Linked DNA regions of Caenorhabditis elegans. The protein of the gene in region 1 purifies or fractionates together with the protein of each later gene. This does not show direct contact. Each region holds a gene or a part of one and is shown in the gene's direction. Other genes may lie near its edges.

Region 1 (3,814 bases):
CAGCGCCACATAAAAATGCACGGATATTTTTGCCCGTTTGCAAAAAAAAAATTTTTGCCTTAATTTTATTATAATTTTATCAAATTCATGTATAAAACTATAGTTTCAATTCCTGGAATTAAACAAAACTTCTATTTTTATTTTTCGTGTCCTTTACTCGAGCGTAATATCAATTTTCAGGTGGATGAAACTTGATTATGTTCTTCTCCTTCTTTTCCATTTGTGCTTTGTCAACACGGAATTGATAAGCGTGATTACCGGTAAGATTAAAGATTCCGGTGAGAAGAAGTCGAATTTTTAATTATATTCGGTTTTTTCAGGCACGACTATCGCGATATCGGCCGGAGCGTTTTGGGGTCTTAAGGATCGTTTAAAGTGTTACTTATATGAATGCTGTCATGAACCTGACGTAAATTTCAATTATCACAGTAAGATATTTTCCACCTTTTCACTGAATTCAATTATTCTTAATTTAAGCACTGGACGCGGATATTGCAAATCTACTGTTTGGCCAACATTTGGTAAAGGACGTCGTTGTAAATTCCATAAAATCTCATTGGTACAATGAAAATCCCCGAAAACCACTGGTTCTTTCGTTTCACGGTTACACAGGCTCAGGAAAGAACTATGTCGCTGAAATTATAGCAAACAATACGTTCAGGTTCGGAATTTGTTAAATTTTTAGTTGAAAAACAATAATTTCTAATTCCAGGCTTGGACTCCGCAGTACTTTTGTCCAGCATATCGTGGCGACCAATGATTTTCCAGACAAAAATAAACTGGAAGAGTATCAAGTTGAATTAAGAAATCGGATTCTAACAACTGTACAAAAATGTCAACGATCAATATTCATTTTCGATGAGGCTGATAAACTACCAGAGCAGTTGCTAGGCGCAATTAAACCGTTCCTCGACTATTATTCGACAATTTCTGGCGTGGATTTTCGAAGAAGCATCTTCATTCTACTAAGCAATAAAGGTGGAGGAGAAATAGCAAGAATAACAAAAGAACAGTACGAAAGTGGCTATCCACGTGAACAACTCCGCTTGGAAGCTTTCGAACGAGAACTTATGAACTTCTCATACAACGAGAAAGGTGGCTTACAGATGAGCGAGCTCATCTCAAATCATCTTATCGATCATTTCGTTCCATTTCTACCGTTACAACGAGAACATGTCAGAAGTTGCGTTGGTGCTTATCTTCGAAAACGAGGAAGAGGAGATCTGGTGTCCAACGTGGATTTTGTCGAACGAGTTCTTAATTCTCTACAATACTTCCCTGAATCTTCCAAAGCATTTTCTTCATCCGGGTGTAAACGAGTCGACGCTAAAACGGATCTAGAAATGGCCAAGATACGGCCACTTCTCTCAAGTGTTCATTTCGACGATGAACTATAACAATTTTTCTTGTTCATATCAGTATTAGTTACCACTATATCTTACTTAATTTCTAAATTATTACGGGAAGCTGTACATGTAAGCTATTGCATTCCTCGATGATTACCTCATTTGCCAATTTTTCAAACAGTATAAATATTCTTATTAATTTTTAACTTGATTATTCGCTATGCTTGGGTTCAATATCCAGTTTATATATATTTATGTATATTTTTGATGCCTTGTTGAAAATGCTCGTACTTTGTTTCAGATGGCTCCAAAAAAGTCCAAGAAGTCAAAGAAAGAAGAGTCGATGATTGATTTTGTCGAAGAAGAAGTTACTGGTGACGTCGATGAAGATGGTTTTGAACAAGCCGAAGACATGCCAGATGAGGTGGATTCAGATGAAGATGAGCCACCGAAAAAGAAGAAGAAAGTTGTGAAGAAAGAAATCAAACAAGAACTAGAATTGACCGATGAGAAGCTTCAAGAGTTACTGGAAAAGTATGAAGCGTCTAAGGCTACAGCCACAAAAACAAAAGACGACTTCAAACATCTGCCAAAAAGTCAACGTGGAAAAGCATTGAAAAGAGCATTGAGAAAGGACAAAAGAGCCAGACAGGGAGAAAGAGCTCAGATTCGAGATGAACTGGGAGAAAGTGCTCCACAAAAAGAAGTTCCAAAAACTATTGAAAGTATGCGGGAGTATGATGCGACGATGGTAAATGAAGAAGATGACGAAGTTGAGCACGACGAGGCCAACGACGAGTTTGCACCATATTTCAACAGAGAAACATCTCCAAAAGTAATGATCACAATGACTCCAAAAGCTAAAATCGTAAGTTTCACTTCTAAAATATTCAAAGCATTGATTTACCATATTTTCAGACAACCTTCAAATTCTGTTTCGAACTTCAAAAATGTATTCCAAACTCTGAAATATTCACAAGAAAGAACGTATTGCTCAAGACAATCATCGAACAGGCTAAAGAAAGAGAGTTCACTGATTTGCTTGTTGTACACGAAGATAGAAAGAAGCCAAATGGAATTATTTTCTGTCATTTGCCTGAAGGACCTACTGCGTATTTCAAAATCAATAGTCTAACATTCACACAGGATTTGAAGGTTTGTTATTTTGATAACTTCTTTATGTATTGCTTAAAATCATTAAAACTATTTTATGTAACTTACCTTGAAAAATCAGAAAAATTCAAATAAAGAATAAAATTCAAATTTCAGAAATTCGGTGAGTCGACATCTCATTTCCCGGAAGTGATTCTCAACAATTTCAACACACGTCTTGGACACAAGTGCGTTTAATATCGTACATCACTCAATTTATCAGATATTTTCAGCATCGCTCGAATGCTTGCTTGTCTCTTTCCACACGATCCAAAATTCACTGGACGCAGAGTTGTAACATTCCACAATCAGAGAGATTACATCTTTTTCAGACATCATAGGTAGGTGAATCATGTTTATTTCAATCGAATATCTAAAAATTTCAGATACGAATTCAAAAAGGAAGGTTCAAAAGCAGCGCTTCTGGAGTTGGGTCCTCGATTCACATTAAGACTTAAGTGGCTACAGAAGGGTACTTTCGACGCAAAGTGGGGAGAATTCGAATGGGTCCTCAAGGTATGGATTTATTTAAAATTAATTGAATGAAAATTATTAAAAATTTCAGAGACACGAAATGGAAACCAGTCGTCGTCGTTTCTTCCTCTGATTACTATTATTCGTTTTTCAAAGGTTGCAAAAAAATTCGAAGCCCCAATTTTATCCTTACTAAGGTTTTTGAAGTTTTGAACAAATATCTCAATCTCTCCCATGCAACCCTATCATCTTTGTTACTGCTTTTATTTTGTTGTTTTGTTGATGTTATTGAATAATATAATTTGATGCAATTTTTTTAAACTGTTACCTCTAAGGTTTCTGACCGATAATTATCTATTCTGATGATATTTTATTATTATATATATTCGCAGAATTTATTCAGGTTCTGACCATGTTGGGGAACAAATTCGTTGCTCAGTTGGCTCTGCAGCACCTCCGCAATCGAGGACTCGTCAATTCCCCATCTCGTCTGACTTTTGTTCGGTAAATTTTCTTTCCGAATAGTATAGATTTATTTTTTATTCTAGAAATCGATTTGCTTGGGGATCTGATGCTGTTGGTCCAAATGTTCCAGTTGGAGGAAAGATGGGAGCTTCGGAGAATCCAGAATTGCACACCTATGATGGAGACTACCGCGGTACCATCTCGAAGGGGGATAAGCCAATTCCAGATTACTTCTACCGTACTCCAACAACTGGTCGAACCTACATCGATCGTTGTGTAACCTATTTCATCTCAGCTGTCATTTGGGCGTGGTTCTCGTACCACATGTACTATCATTCTGGCCATCTCTTGGGACATTGGTACATGCCATACTTGAG
Region 2 (7,596 bases), on another chromosome or scaffold:
GTTTTAATGTAGAATTTTTTGGAAAAAAATCGAAAATTTTCGAAAATCCATAACTTTGTTAATTTTCAAGTTTTAAAATTGGTTTTAGTCTCAAAAATTTGGAAATTTTACTGAAAATATGAGAAAAATCATTTCGCCGCAAAAAAAAACACAAAACTACAGTAACCCAGTAGGTTTTCGTGGCGGGACCCAAATGTTTTCGATTTTCGTAAATTTCACCGTAATATAGCCGATATTGGGGTCATTTTGAAGGTCTAAGCGTGACAAATTCGAATTTTCACGAAAAATTCGGTTTTAATCATTTTTGAAATTTTTTTTGGAAAAAAAATTATTTATAAAAAAATTATTTCTCAAAAATTTTGTTAGTTTTTTTTTTCTTGCACAATGTTTCCAGTTCTCGTGCTTTTTGGCCTCAAAACGTGCTAAAATTTAAAGGCGCATGGCTTGCGTCATCATCAAATTTCCGTTTCAAAACTAGTTTTTTTTTCCAAGTATTCCTCGTAAATAAGGGAAGATTCGATTTGAATAAATTTCCACCAAACTCACACATACACATTTTCTCTGCGTTCTCTTCACTCTCTTTCTCTCCCCAGAGAGAGAGAGAGAGAGACCGAGAGACACAGACGATGAGAGAGTATCGACTTGGCCAGTGGCTGGCGGGCGGCTGGGCGGTGCGAGAGAGCACGACTTAGCGTGCTAAAAGTGTGGAGACGCAGACGGTTTATGCGCACACACACACAGCGGGGAGGCACCCGCGCTCGTTTTTCACATTTTTCGTCAATATTTTGCAGTGTTGTGTGCACCCGGAGGCACCAACCCCGAGGCACCCCGTTTTGTGAAAAGCTTTAAATTTATTGATTTTTGTGGTTTTTATGGTTTTTTGACCGGAAAAATAAGTTTTAAATTGAAAAATCGATTTAAAAAAGCGGTACGGTAGGCTTAAAGGCGCATAGCTTGAAAAATTTTCGAGGAACCTTTGGAAAATTTAGTTTTGCTCAGTTTTTCTCAATTTTTTCTGAATTTCAGATGATTTTCCATCGTTTTTTGCCTTTTTCGATGCAATTTTATTCGTGTTTGCATTAAAATTCAACAAAAACCCGAAAAATTTGATTACGGTAGGCTTAAAGGCGCATAGCTCGGAAAATTTTCAAGGAATCTTTAAAAAATTAAATTTTGCCCAGTTTTTCTCAGTTTTTCTGAGTTATAGTTGATTTTTCAGCATTTTTTGGCTTTTTCGATGCAATTTTATTCGTTTTTGCATTAAAATTCAACAAAAACCCGAAAAATTTGATTACTGTAGGCTTAAAGGCGCATAGCTTGAAAATTTCGCGAAAAACTTTGTTTTTATACTGTTTTGTATACGAATTTTGTGAGGAAACCAGTTTTTCGATGGTTTTTTTTCTCGTTTTTCTCAAAACATAGAACTTTGTGCTCTTTTCTCTGGCTTTTCCATCTTAGAAATGAGCATTTTCTAGTTTTTGCTCATTTTTCGTGTGTAAATTTTAATTTTTATTTGTTTTCCTTAATTTTGTTTTAATTTTCTTGATTTTTCTCTTGAAACATCGATAAAAATCCATTAGATACCATTAAAATCCAATAAAAACCAAAAAACAAAATCTTTCAACCGTAATCCATTAAAGGCGCATGCCTTTATTTGTTCCTTGGGTCTCGAAGGGAACACCTCGTGTACTCCTCTCGGACAATGATTTTATGTTTAATTTTTAATTTTTATCGATTTTTATGCGAAAAAATGGATTTCCGCTCTGTTTTTTGAGATAAAAACGATTTTTAACTTGAAATCTCAATTTTCCTTTTAGTTTCAGCTGAAAAATCCTCTGAAATTCTTTTAAAAAAATCATTTTTTGCATTTTTTTGCAGTTTTCCGCCAACAAAACTCGGCATGTCGACAAAAAAGAAGACAAAGGTCCTATCGAAGAAAAAAGGCAAGATTTTGGTGCCAAAATGGAAGCTTTTCCGCGCCAAAGAGCCTGTCTTGTCGGTTTTCATGTGGGGAATCAATCATACGGTGGATCAGCTGCTTCATGTCCCTCCGCCAGGGCTTCTAATGCCAGATGACTTCAAGGCAGGTGGAAATTTGAAAAAATCACAAAAAATTGGCCTAGACGAGTGAAAATTTGAGAAAAATCGGAAGAAAAACGACGAAAAAACCAAAAATTGTAGGACACAGCTGAAATCAGTGCTACCGTAGTCAAAAATTTCGAAAAAATGCGAAAATAGGTCAATTTTGCGCGGGAAATTCAAATTTCGCACTGATTTTTCATAAAAAATCCGATTTTTCAGGCATATTCGAAAGTAAAAATCGATAATCACAATTTCAACAAAGATATTATGCCGTCACACTACAAAGTCAAAGAATACTGTCCAAATGTGTTCCGTAACCTTCGTGAGCAATTTGGTGTCGACAATTTCGAATATCTACGCTCGCTGACGTCATACGAGCCGGAGCCCGACTTGTTGGATGGCTCGGCAAAGGATTCCACGCCGAGATTCTTTATATCGTATGATAAGAAGTTTGTGATCAAGGTTTGTGTGTGGAGAAATCGAGAAAATCGTAGGATTTTGACCGAAAAAATGCGAAAATTCGGCTTCAAAGTGTGAATTTTGCCCTAAAACGCAAATTTTGGCCTAAAAACGTAAAATTTAGCCCTAAAAACGTGAATTTTAGTCCTAAAAATGTAAATTTTAGGCATAAAAACGTAAATTTTAGGCATAAAAACGTAAATTTTAAGCTTAAAAACGTGAATTTTAAGCCTAAAACCGTGAATTTTAAGCCTAAAACCGTGAATTTTAAGCCTAAAAACGTGAATTTTAGGCCTAAAAACGTAAAATTTAGCCCTAAAAACGTGAATTTTAGGCCTAAAAACGTAAATTTTAGGCCTAAAAACTTAAATTTTAAGTGTGAAACCGTGAATTTTAAGCCTAAAAACTTAAATTTTAAGCCTAAAAACCTAAATTTTAGGCCTGAAAACGTAAATTTTAAGCCTAAAAACGTAAATTTTAAGCCTAAAAATGTAAATTTTAGGCCTAAAACCGTGAATTTTAGGCCTAAAAATGTAACTTTTAGGCCTAAAAACATACATTTTGGGTCTAAAAACGTAAATTGTAGTGCTAAAAACGCAAATTAAAGCCTAAAACCTTGATTTTTAAGCCTAGAAACTTGGATTTTAGCCCTAAAAACGTGAATTTTAGGTCGTAAAAACGTGAAAATTAGGCCTAAAAACGCAGATTTCAGTGTGCTGAATTCCAATATCATCAGAAAATGTGAAAAAATTGGGTCTCGAAGCGAAAAATGCGAAAAATTACGTTTTTCAACTAAAAATTTCAAATTTTCAACCAAAACTACCCGAAATTTCAAAAAAAAAAAAAATTTTCAAAATTTCAGTCAATGGACTCCGAAGCGGTCGCCGAGCTCCACTCAGTACTCCGGAATTATCATCAATATGTCGTCGAAAAGCAAGGAAAAACCCTTTTGCCGCAATATTTGGGACTTTATAGGTAAAAAGTCGAATTCAGCTCGCCGTGGGCTTCAATTTGACACCAAAAATTCAGGAAAAATCGATAAATTTTGAAAAAAAAAATTTTTTTAAGAAACAATTTTGAAACTTTGAAATTTTTTCTGCAAAATTCTAAGTTTTCACTAAAATGTTTATATTTTTGAACTCAGCTCACCGAGAGCTTTAAAATGACCCCCATATCGGCTAGGTTCCGCCAATTTTGGGTCCCGCCGCGAAAACTACAGTACCCTTCTTGTCGGGACCCAGTTTTCGCGGCGGGACCCAGAATTGCCGGAACTTAGTCGATATGGGAGTCATTTGAAAGCTCTCGGTGAGCTGAATACGAATTTGACGCGGAAAATTTAAACAACTCGAAAATTTTTTTTTTTAAGAAAATGAATTTTTGAAAAAAAATTTTTTTTTTTTGGAAATTTTTAAATTTTTATTGAAATTTTCATACTTTCGAACTCAGCTCACCGAGAGCTTCAAAATGGCCCCCATATCGGCTAGGCTCCGTCAATTTTGGGTCTCGCCGCGAAAACTACAGTACCCTTCGTGTCGGGACCCAGTTTTCGCGGCGGGACCCAAAATCGGCGAACCTAGCGGATATGGGAGTCATTGTGAAGGTCTGAGCGAGCGGAATACAAATTTTACGAAAAAAAATTCATAAATTTTCGAAAAAAAAATTATTTTTAGAAATTGAATTCAAAAAAAAAATTTTTTTTTGGAATTTAGATTTTTTCTACCTAAATTTTATTCAATCTCTTTTTGCAATGTTTTGCAATATTTTCAGACTAACAATCGAGGGCTCAGAGACATACCTGATCGTAATGCGCAACGTGTTCGGCCGAAAGTACGGTGTCCATACAAAATTCGACCTTAAAGGATCTACAGTATCCCGTGCGGCGTCGGATAAGGAAAAAGCCAAAGATCTCCCAACACTGAAAGATAACGATTTTCTGGAACAAAACTGGAAGCTTAACCTGCCGCCAGAGGCCGGAAAACTGCTCATTGAGATGCTCACTAGTGATACGGAATGGCTCACGAGAATGCATTTGATGGATTATTCGCTGCTAGTTGGTACGGTACAAAATACCGGAAAAATGCAAAATTTCGGAAAAATCAATAATTCTTAAAATTTCGAGAAAATGTTTTTTTTGGAAATTTTCTAGATTATTTTTTCAAAGTTCCATATTTCAGAATAATTTCCAAAAATCTGAATTCAGCTCACCAGGACCTTCAAAATGACCCCCTTCATGCCTAGGTTCCGCCAATTTTGAGTTTTTGGGTCTCGCCACGCGGGGTACTGTAGCTATGGTTTCAGCTGTGTCGAAACTCGAAATTGACGGAGCCAAGGCGTGGTGGGGGTCATTTGAAAGATCTTGATGAGCTGAATTCGATTAATTAAATAATACTTTGAGAATGAAATTTTGAGTTAAAAAAATTTTGTTGAAAATTTCCAAAAAAAAAAGAATTTTTTTCGAATTTCACTTTTCTTAACTAATTTCAAAAAATTTTAATTCAGCTCACCAATACCGTTAAAATGACCCCCATCATGCCTAGGTTCCGACGAATTTCGAGAATTTGGGTCTCGCCACGCGGGGTACTGTAGCTATGGCTTCAGCTGTGTCGAAACTCGAAATTGACGCAGCCTAGGCGTGTTGGGGGTCATTTGAAAGATCTTGATGAGCTGAATTCGATTTTAATGTCAAAATATTTAGAAATCTTTTGAAAAAATTAAATTTTGAGAGAAAATTTTTTTTTGAAAATTTCCAAAAAAAAAGAATTTTTTTCGAATTTTCAATTTTCCACGCTAATTTTAAAAAATTTGAATTCAGCTCGCCAGTACCTTCAAAATGACCCCCATCATGCCCAGGTTCCGCCAATTTCGAGTTTTTGGGTCTCGCCACGCTGGGTACTGTAGCTATGGTTTCAGCTGTGTCGAAACTCAAAATTGACGCAACCTAGGCATGTTGGGGGTCATTTGAAAGGTCTTGGTGAGCTGAATTCAAATATTACAGTAGTTGTTTTCAAGAATTTCGATTTTTCAGAATTTTAAAACTGTTCCAAAAATTAAAAAAAAATTATTCCAGGTATCCACGACTGCGAACGTGCCGCCCAAGAAGCCGCCAATCGTCCCGTAGAACAAAACAGTGAAGAATCGGGCGACGAGCTCGCCCCGACGCCCCCAGACTCGCCGATCCCGTCAACGGGCGGCGCATTTCCCGGAGTTTCGGGCGGTCCCGACCTCGATGATGAATTTTACGCCATCGCAAGTCCCGCGGATTTTGAGAAAAATTTGATCTATTTTATTGGGCTCGTCGATATTCTCACCTACTACGGCATCAAGAAACGCAGTGCGACGGCCGCGAAAACTGTGAAATATGGCTCAGATGCCGAGAATATTAGCACTGTTAAACCGGAACAGGTGCGGATTTGCGGAATTGCAAAAAAAAATGGAAAAAATCCCGAAATTTTGAGGATTTTTGGAGAAAAATTGAGATTTTTTTGGAAATTTCTTAATTTTTTTGATTTGTAGTGTAATTTTCTTTTCCAGCACACTGAGAGCTTCAATGTAACCCCAATATCGGCTTTTTTCCGCCATTTTTGACACATTTTGGGTCCTGCCACGAAAACTACAGTACCCCTTTCGTGGTGGGACCCGAAATTCTCAAAGTCGGCGGAATATAGGCATGTTGGAGGTCATTTGAATGGGTTCGGTGAGCTGAATTCAAATTTAATGCCGACTTTAAAAAATTTACAAAAAATTGAAAAAAAAATCCCGAAAATTGACGATTTTCGGAAAAATTTGAAATTTCTCAGTTTTTTTCGAAAATTCAACTGAATTTTCAATTTTCAGTCCAATTTTTTCACTCAACACACTGAGAGGTTCAATTTGACCCCATTTTGACGATTTTCCGTCAATTTCTACACTTTTTGGGTCTCGCCACGAAAACTACAGTAACCCTTTCGTGGTGGGACCCAAAAATCTCAAAGTCGGCGGAATATAGGCATGTTGGGGGTCATTTGAAACGTCTCGGTGAGCTGAATTCAATTTTAAAAATGAGAATCTACAGAAATGGGTCTCGACGCGAAAAATGGTTTTTTTTTCGAAAATACAAAATTTTCAAAAAAAAACTTTTTTTTTTCTGAAAAATTAAAAAAACTTCTAATCTCAATTTTTTTCAGTATGCCAAACGACTCGTCGAATTCGTAAGCCGGGCTCTCAACTGACCCCGCCCACCATCTACAGTAACCCCGCCCTGCCCCGCCCCCCTTTTGCACCTTTAATTTCGCACATTGATCTCAATTTTCAATTTTTTTGTAAAAATAAGCTGAAAAGAAAAAAATATACCAAAAATTATAATTTATTTCCGATATTTTCCTGCTTTGCTCTCCCGCCCCCGTCGCCCTAAGCTCCGCCCATTTCTGACCCGCTAAAATTCCCGATTTATAATTTTTTTTTGATTTTCTCCTGAAAATTTGTCTGTAATTTATCCCCCGCTATTACCTTTATATTTTTGTGTAAAAATAAACAGTATTTGGCATGAAAATGTGAAAAATTGGGTCCCGCCACGAAAACTACTGGGATACTGTAGTTTTGCAGGGGTTTGAGCTGGATTTATTTTTCCTGGGTTATTAAGGTAATTTTACAAATTTAAAGACAAAAATTAGCTGGAAATCTCAAAAATTGACAAAGTTATGAATTTTCGAAAAAAAAAAACTTTTTGAAATAATTTCAAAATTATTTTTATTTTCCTATTTTCGCTTCGAGACCTTTATTACACTGATTTTCGTGTTCAACACGTTTTGAATTTCAAAATGACACCCATATTGCCTAGGTTTGATATACTTTGGGTCCCGACGCGAAAACTACAGTACCCCCCGGGGCTTTCGTGGTGGGGTCCCGAAATTTTCAAAGTAGGCGGAATATAGGCATGTTGGGGGTTATTTGAAAGGTCTCGGTGAGTTGAAGACGAATTATGTGTCGGTTTTTAAAAATTTACGAAAAATTTGGCGATTTTTAGAAAAGTTGAAATTTCTCCTTTTTTCTAAAATACAACGATTTCTTGTTAAATTT
Region 3 (5,532 bases), on another chromosome or scaffold:
TTATATATGAAGCAATCCCACAATCCTCGAAAATTGATTTTTGTGGATTAGAGTTTTCTGTCCATCCTTTGATCATTCCTCTGCCATAATCCTCTCGAATATGACGATATGTCTTGATGTAGGACTCTTTGTCGAGTAGAGAATTTGTCTTTCGAGATGATCTGCAATAAACGTTTAGACTTTGTTAAATCATAGCGTTCTCACTTTGAAAGATCAATTCCTTTCAACCAAGTGTACAATTGTTTGAATGCTTGTTTCTTCATAAATTCAAAATGTTCTTGAGAGGAATTAGCTTGCTTCAAAAACTGAAGTTGAATGGATGTATCTGTTGGGATTTTAATGGCAATTGAATACGGGCTCTCGAAATGTGGGTGTTGCATTCCATCGAGAGTAATTGGGTAGAATCGTACAAGGAGTTCTTCTGAAAACAAAAACATCATTTCAAAAGAAGACTAACTTCGAAACAAACCTTCATAGTAAGAAACTTCAAACGCATTATCTGAGAATTTATTATTAGCGAGATCCTTGTGTATGATTTTCGTAATAGCTATTTCGCTGCAATCTCTCGGGCAAAATTTGTAATGTGTTTCAAATGTTCTTAAAACTTCATTCCATAAATCTGAATCTGTATCCACTGAAACTGAAGTTGTAATTCTGTTACTGATAGCGTTTGGATATTCCTTCCAAAGACTGATAATCTGAATTTTTCTTTCAATTACAATATTCCAAATTACAATAACTACCTTATCAAAAAACGCTTTTGGATCAATAACCTCTTCGTATTCGGCGATTTGTTCTACAATAACTGTCCATGTTGAACCAGGAAACATAAAACGCCTAAAAACGTAAAATTTTAATTGAATATATTGGTAAACTAGTTTTTCAAAGGAAAAAGAAAATTATTCAATAAACTTTTATTGATTAGTTCGGCCGAAAATATCCAACACGCAGAAAGGTAAGCTTTTCGAAGATATAGAAAGTTCTAGAAAATTCGGAAATGTTCCTCTGAAAACTACAAAAACTAAGTCAGACTGAAACCAATGTCATAACTATGTGCAATGAGCCTTTAATACAGTAACCACCGCATAGCTTTGAGACGATCAGTGAAAAATTAAGCATTAGAGCGGTCAAACTAGACACCAATACACTTTTATCTGATTTTAAAAATTAAAATATGCTATTTTTATCGGAATTGCTGGGAAAAATATTGTCTAAAAATAAGAAAACAACTTTGAAGAAAATGCGCCAACACCCATGTGCTGGCGCAATTATCGATTAGTTGACGCACATCGCGGAGGATGACAATTCTGACCACAGCGGGAAACCGCGAAATTGTCAGCTTTTATCTGAAAATGTATGTGTTTTTGGACGAAATTTGTCATTCGCAATCATTCTTTTCGTTCGGTTCATCCATTGTTGGTGTTTGAGTAATTTTATGATTTTCTAAAACGCCTGATTTATTTTTAGACGTTTTCTAATTTGTCTTTTAAGACGAGAAAGCTGTTTTTCTGATAACCTAGAAAAACATTTTATAATAAACTATGCTTCGCAACTATCTTCTCCTAGCTGCTCTCATTTCGGATTGTTTTTAATTTTGATTTCTTTCAGATGTTGACATTGTTGAACAGATGGAGATCTCAGCCAGGAGGCGCTTCAAACGCAGGTATCAAAACTAATATCTATCAAGAAACGTTGTGAATTGTTCATTTTCAGCCGCATTCATTCGTGTTCTCGAGTCACCGAAATCAGCAGTGACCGACAAAGTGCTCGTTCTCAAAGCATTTAACGATTGGGATGTTCTTGTGAACACATGGTTTGAGGTCGCTGACGCCCTTCCAGCTGTAGAGCAGCTCCTTGACAACAACACGTTCCCAGAGCATTCATCCGCTGCACTGCTCGTCTCCAAAGTTTATTTCTGCTTGGAGCAGTATGAACGTGCTTTGGAGTTTGCTCTTCGTGGTGATTTCAACGTCGTTCCTGCTACAAGAACCGGTCTTGGAAACGACGCAGAATATGTTAACAAGATCATCGAGACGGCCATTGACACGTACAAGACGCTGAGCAAGCAAGGATCTGGAATTCCTCAGAAACTCCGAGATTTGATCGACCGAATTGTTGCTAGAAATCTGGATAAACGAGAGATATGGTTTGTCATCTCGTTAGGATTTGAGACGACCAATCTGGCTATGATCGACAGGGCCATTAGCGCGATGCCTGCAGATTTGACCATCAAGAATCAGAGTAAGTCAATAATAACTAAGCTGAAACGTCATTCTTTTTTGTGCAGCTACACTTGTCGAAACGCTCAACCGTGTTGTCAATGGCGCGTTCGATCGTTCATTCCGATTCCAAGTTATCGATACAGTCATCAAGACGTACTTGAAGTGCCCATCGCCGGACATGTCCAAGATTTGCGAGGTATGATTTATACAAATATCGAAGTAAAATTACAAAATAAACATTTTCAGTGTTACGTGCTCACGGATAACGCCGAGGCCGCTGCTGACACGATTACGAGTTTGATCGCGAAGTCTCTCAGCACTCGTGCATATCAGATCGCATTTGATTTATATGAAACAGCGAGTCAAGGATTCCTCGATCGAGTTTTGAAACGTTTCCAACAGCAGGATGCTCGTGATGAGAAGTCGATGGAAAAGATTCATTCAATTCTCAAAGGTCATGAAACTGTCAAGGCTTACCTCGACTTCTTTGTCCGTCATAATCACACTGATTCTGTTCTAATGGAAGAGATCAAGGAGAACATTCGAACAGCCTCTGCCCACAATGCTCTTCTCATCTCAAATGGTCTTATGCAATATGGAACTACTTGTGACGATTTCCTCCGTAACAACTTGAACTGGGTTTCCAAAGCTACGAACTGGAACAAGTTCAATGCGGTCGCTTCACTTGGACTCATTCATCACGGACAAGAATCGTCTGCAATGAAGGTACTTGAGCCATATTTGCCAAAGGAATCTGTCGAAGGATTTGGATTTAAAGAGGGAGGAGCAATGCTGGCATATGGATTGATTCACGCCAAACACGGAGATGCAACTGCCATGAGCACTCTGGCTCAGTGGCTCAAAACCGCCGAAAACGAGCCAGTGAGACACGGAGCTTGTCTTGGATTTGGAGTTGCTGGACTTGGATCGTCTTCTGTTTCGAATTACGAGAAAGTTCGGGAAGTTCTCCAACGTGATGAAGCAGTTTCCGGAGAATCCGCAGGAATCGCCATGGGCCTTATCATGGCTGGACATCTGAATCAAGAGGTGTTCAATGAGCTCAAGCAATACACTGTTGACACACAGCATGACAAAACTCAACGTGGTATCCGAACTGGACTTGCCTGTGCCGCATTCGGACTCCAAGGAGATGCTGAGCCTTACATCAAAGAAGCAATCGGAGCTAAGAGCAATCCAATGCTCCGTTCCACTGGAATCTGTATGCTGTCGATGGCTTACGCCGGAACCGGATCTCCAGATGTAGTACGCCGTCTTCTCGAGAAAGTAGCCACCGATCCAAATTTGGATGTCAAGAGATACGCTACAATTGGTATCGGATTCGTTCTCTCCAAGGATCCATCAACCTGCTTATCCTACGTGGCCATGCTCACCGAACATTTCAATGGACATGTCAGATACGGAGCAGCTATGGCACTGGGAATTGCTTGTGCTGGAACAGGAAACATGGTAAGATACTTTTTTCTGAAACCGGGGTTTGATATAATGAATTGTTTTTCAGGAAGCTATTGCTCTGATTGAGCCAATGATTTCTGATAAGGAAGGTTTCGTTCGTAAAGGAGCACTTCTTTCACTTGCTCTCATCATGTGCCAGCAGACAGACTACACTTGTCCCAAGGTGAACGGTTTCCGTAAGCAATTGCTCAAAAAGGTAACTCTATAAGAAAACAATCAAGTTTTTCAATAAATGTTTGTCAGATCGGAGAGAAGAACGAGGACTCTCTTGTCAAATTTGGAGCAATTATTGCTCAAGGACTTCTCGACATCGGAGGGCAGAACGCTGCGGTCACAATGCAAAATTCTGACAAGCAGCCAGATATGGGATCAATGGTCGGAATGATGTGCTTCCTTCACGGATGGTTCTGGCACTCGATGCATTTCTTCATCGCCCTTGCTGCTAAGCCATCATGCCTTGTGATGATGAACGAGAATCTGAAGATTCCAGTACTTGACTACATCTGCCATGCCAATAGTCAGAAGTTTGCCTATCCACCACGAGCCGAATCAAAGAAGGATAAGGATGTCAAAAAGATTGAGACTGTTGTTCTGTCCATCACCGGAAAGAAGAATGCGTCAAAGAAGCTGATCGCTGAGGAGAAAAAAAGACGAGAAGCTGCAGCTTCCGCTTCTAGTGCTGCTGCTGCCCCATCATCATCGTCCACTTCAGGAACAGCACCAGCTGCTGAAGATGAGAAAATGGAGGTTGATCAACCAGGAAAATCCAAGTAAGTTTGGAATGAGTGTCTAGGAAAAGTAGAATTCGTTTTTTTTGTCATAAAAATTAAAAAACCAAGATTTCCAAATTAACTTACAATTATTTCAGGAAAGAAAAGGCTCCAGAAAAGGACACGAAGCCATTGCACCGCCTACAGAATCCAGCTCGTGTGATTCCTGCTCAACGACAGCTAATCTCGATCAGTGACGCTCGAGCCTACAGTCCCATGAAGCCACTTTACAAGGGTGGAATTATTGTGGCGGATCGTGTTGATAAGGAGAGAGAGGAGAAGCTTGTCAGTGAAGTCGTCACTCAGGTCAATACTCCTGCGAGCTCTGGAAATACCGAAAACAAACCCCATTCGACGTTCGAGATCAATATCAACGATTTTTGATCAATTGCTGGATCATTCGATCAACTCTATCTCGCTCCCCCAATCCCATTCAAAACTTTTTTAATTTATTTTCCCCCTTCTACTCTATTTATGTTTGACTTCGAATCAACATGAACCCGCTGATTTTTGTATTTGTGTGTATACCTGAAAATGAAGAACATTTCACTTACATGAATTGAAGTCAAGCGATAATGACAAAAAATTTATTTTTGTTAAACAAGAGATCCTTTCTGGCCTCAAAATCTTGCTGTGTTATTCAAATGAAACAGCAACAAAAATGAATGAATAAATTCTGAAAATTTTAATAACGAAAACGTGAAGTAAAAAATTAATTTAATTATCCTCCTCGTCAGTTGATAGAATCTCGCCGTCTGATAACTCCTCTTCGGGATCTCGCTTTGGCTTCGGAGGAACAACGACCGCTGGTGTTGACGTGGATATGGCTGGCTTTTTAGCAGGCGATGGAGCTGCTTTCCGCGATGGAGGAGACTGGTTTACACGTTTTTTGGTGGGAGTGTCGAGGTGTTTCTGTAAATTTTGATTTTGAAAACATGTAATCGGGAAATTTTAAGCTAAAACAATATAAATAATAAAAACCAACATCTCTTCCTCTATCAGAAGACGACTTCTCTGGCAAACGATCCCTATCTTTTCCAAATTTCCTTCTAGATGTCGTTGGTATT

What was found. The genes of interacting proteins can lie anywhere in the genome.
Region 2: the proteins of F44G4.1 (region 1) and ppk-2 fractionate together in Caenorhabditis elegans (co-fractionation; one large-scale study listed by BioGRID). This does not show direct contact.
Region 3: the proteins of F44G4.1 (region 1) and rpn-2 fractionate together in Caenorhabditis elegans (co-fractionation; one large-scale study listed by BioGRID). This does not show direct contact.

Annotation. Positions count from the first base shown.
Region 1 is NC_003280.10:8,992,989-8,996,802, forward strand, and holds F44G4.1 (Brix domain-containing protein F44G4.1), read left to right. Parts: upstream 1-1,647; coding exon 1,648-2,214; intron 2,215-2,264; coding exon 2,265-2,501; intron 2,502-2,615; coding exon 2,616-2,686; intron 2,687-2,731; coding exon 2,732-2,839; intron 2,840-2,884; coding exon 2,885-3,014; intron 3,015-3,063; coding exon 3,064-3,105; 3' UTR 3,106-3,281; downstream 3,282-3,814. Other genes in the region: ooc-5 (Torsin-like protein), read left to right, coding at 185-278, 321-428, 478-661, 713-1,397; ndub-2 (putative NADH dehydrogenase [ubiquinone] 1 beta subcomplex subunit 2, mitochondrial), read left to right, coding at 3,385-3,476, 3,521-3,814.
Region 2 is NC_003281.10:2,100,417-2,108,012, forward strand, and holds ppk-2 (1-phosphatidylinositol-5-phosphate 4-kinase), read left to right. Parts: upstream 1-1,878; 5' UTR 1,879-1,900; coding exon 1,901-2,083; intron 2,084-2,301; coding exon 2,302-2,544; intron 2,545-3,403; coding exon 3,404-3,516; intron 3,517-4,308; coding exon 4,309-4,595; intron 4,596-5,608; coding exon 5,609-5,943; intron 5,944-6,704; coding exon 6,705-6,749; 3' UTR 6,750-7,081; downstream 7,082-7,596.
Region 3 is NC_003281.10:6,197,578-6,203,109, forward strand, and holds rpn-2 (26S proteasome non-ATPase regulatory subunit 1), read left to right. Parts: upstream 1-1,602; 5' UTR 1,603-1,608; coding exon 1,609-1,663; intron 1,664-1,713; coding exon 1,714-2,241; intron 2,242-2,287; coding exon 2,288-2,418; intron 2,419-2,468; coding exon 2,469-3,689; intron 3,690-3,741; coding exon 3,742-3,891; intron 3,892-3,938; coding exon 3,939-4,465; coding exon of another isoform or gene 4,466-4,469; exon of another isoform or gene 4,470-4,563; coding exon 4,564-4,849; 3' UTR 4,850-5,017; downstream 5,018-5,532. Other genes in the region: C23G10.7 (putative tRNA (uracil-O(2)-)-methyltransferase), read right to left, coding at 1-161, 205-421, 470-698, 744-830; sna-3 (NADAR domain-containing protein), read right to left, coding at 5,183-5,377, 5,451-5,532. UniProt on the Caenorhabditis elegans protein: Acts as a regulatory subunit of the 26 proteasome which is involved in the ATP-dependent degradation of ubiquitinated proteins.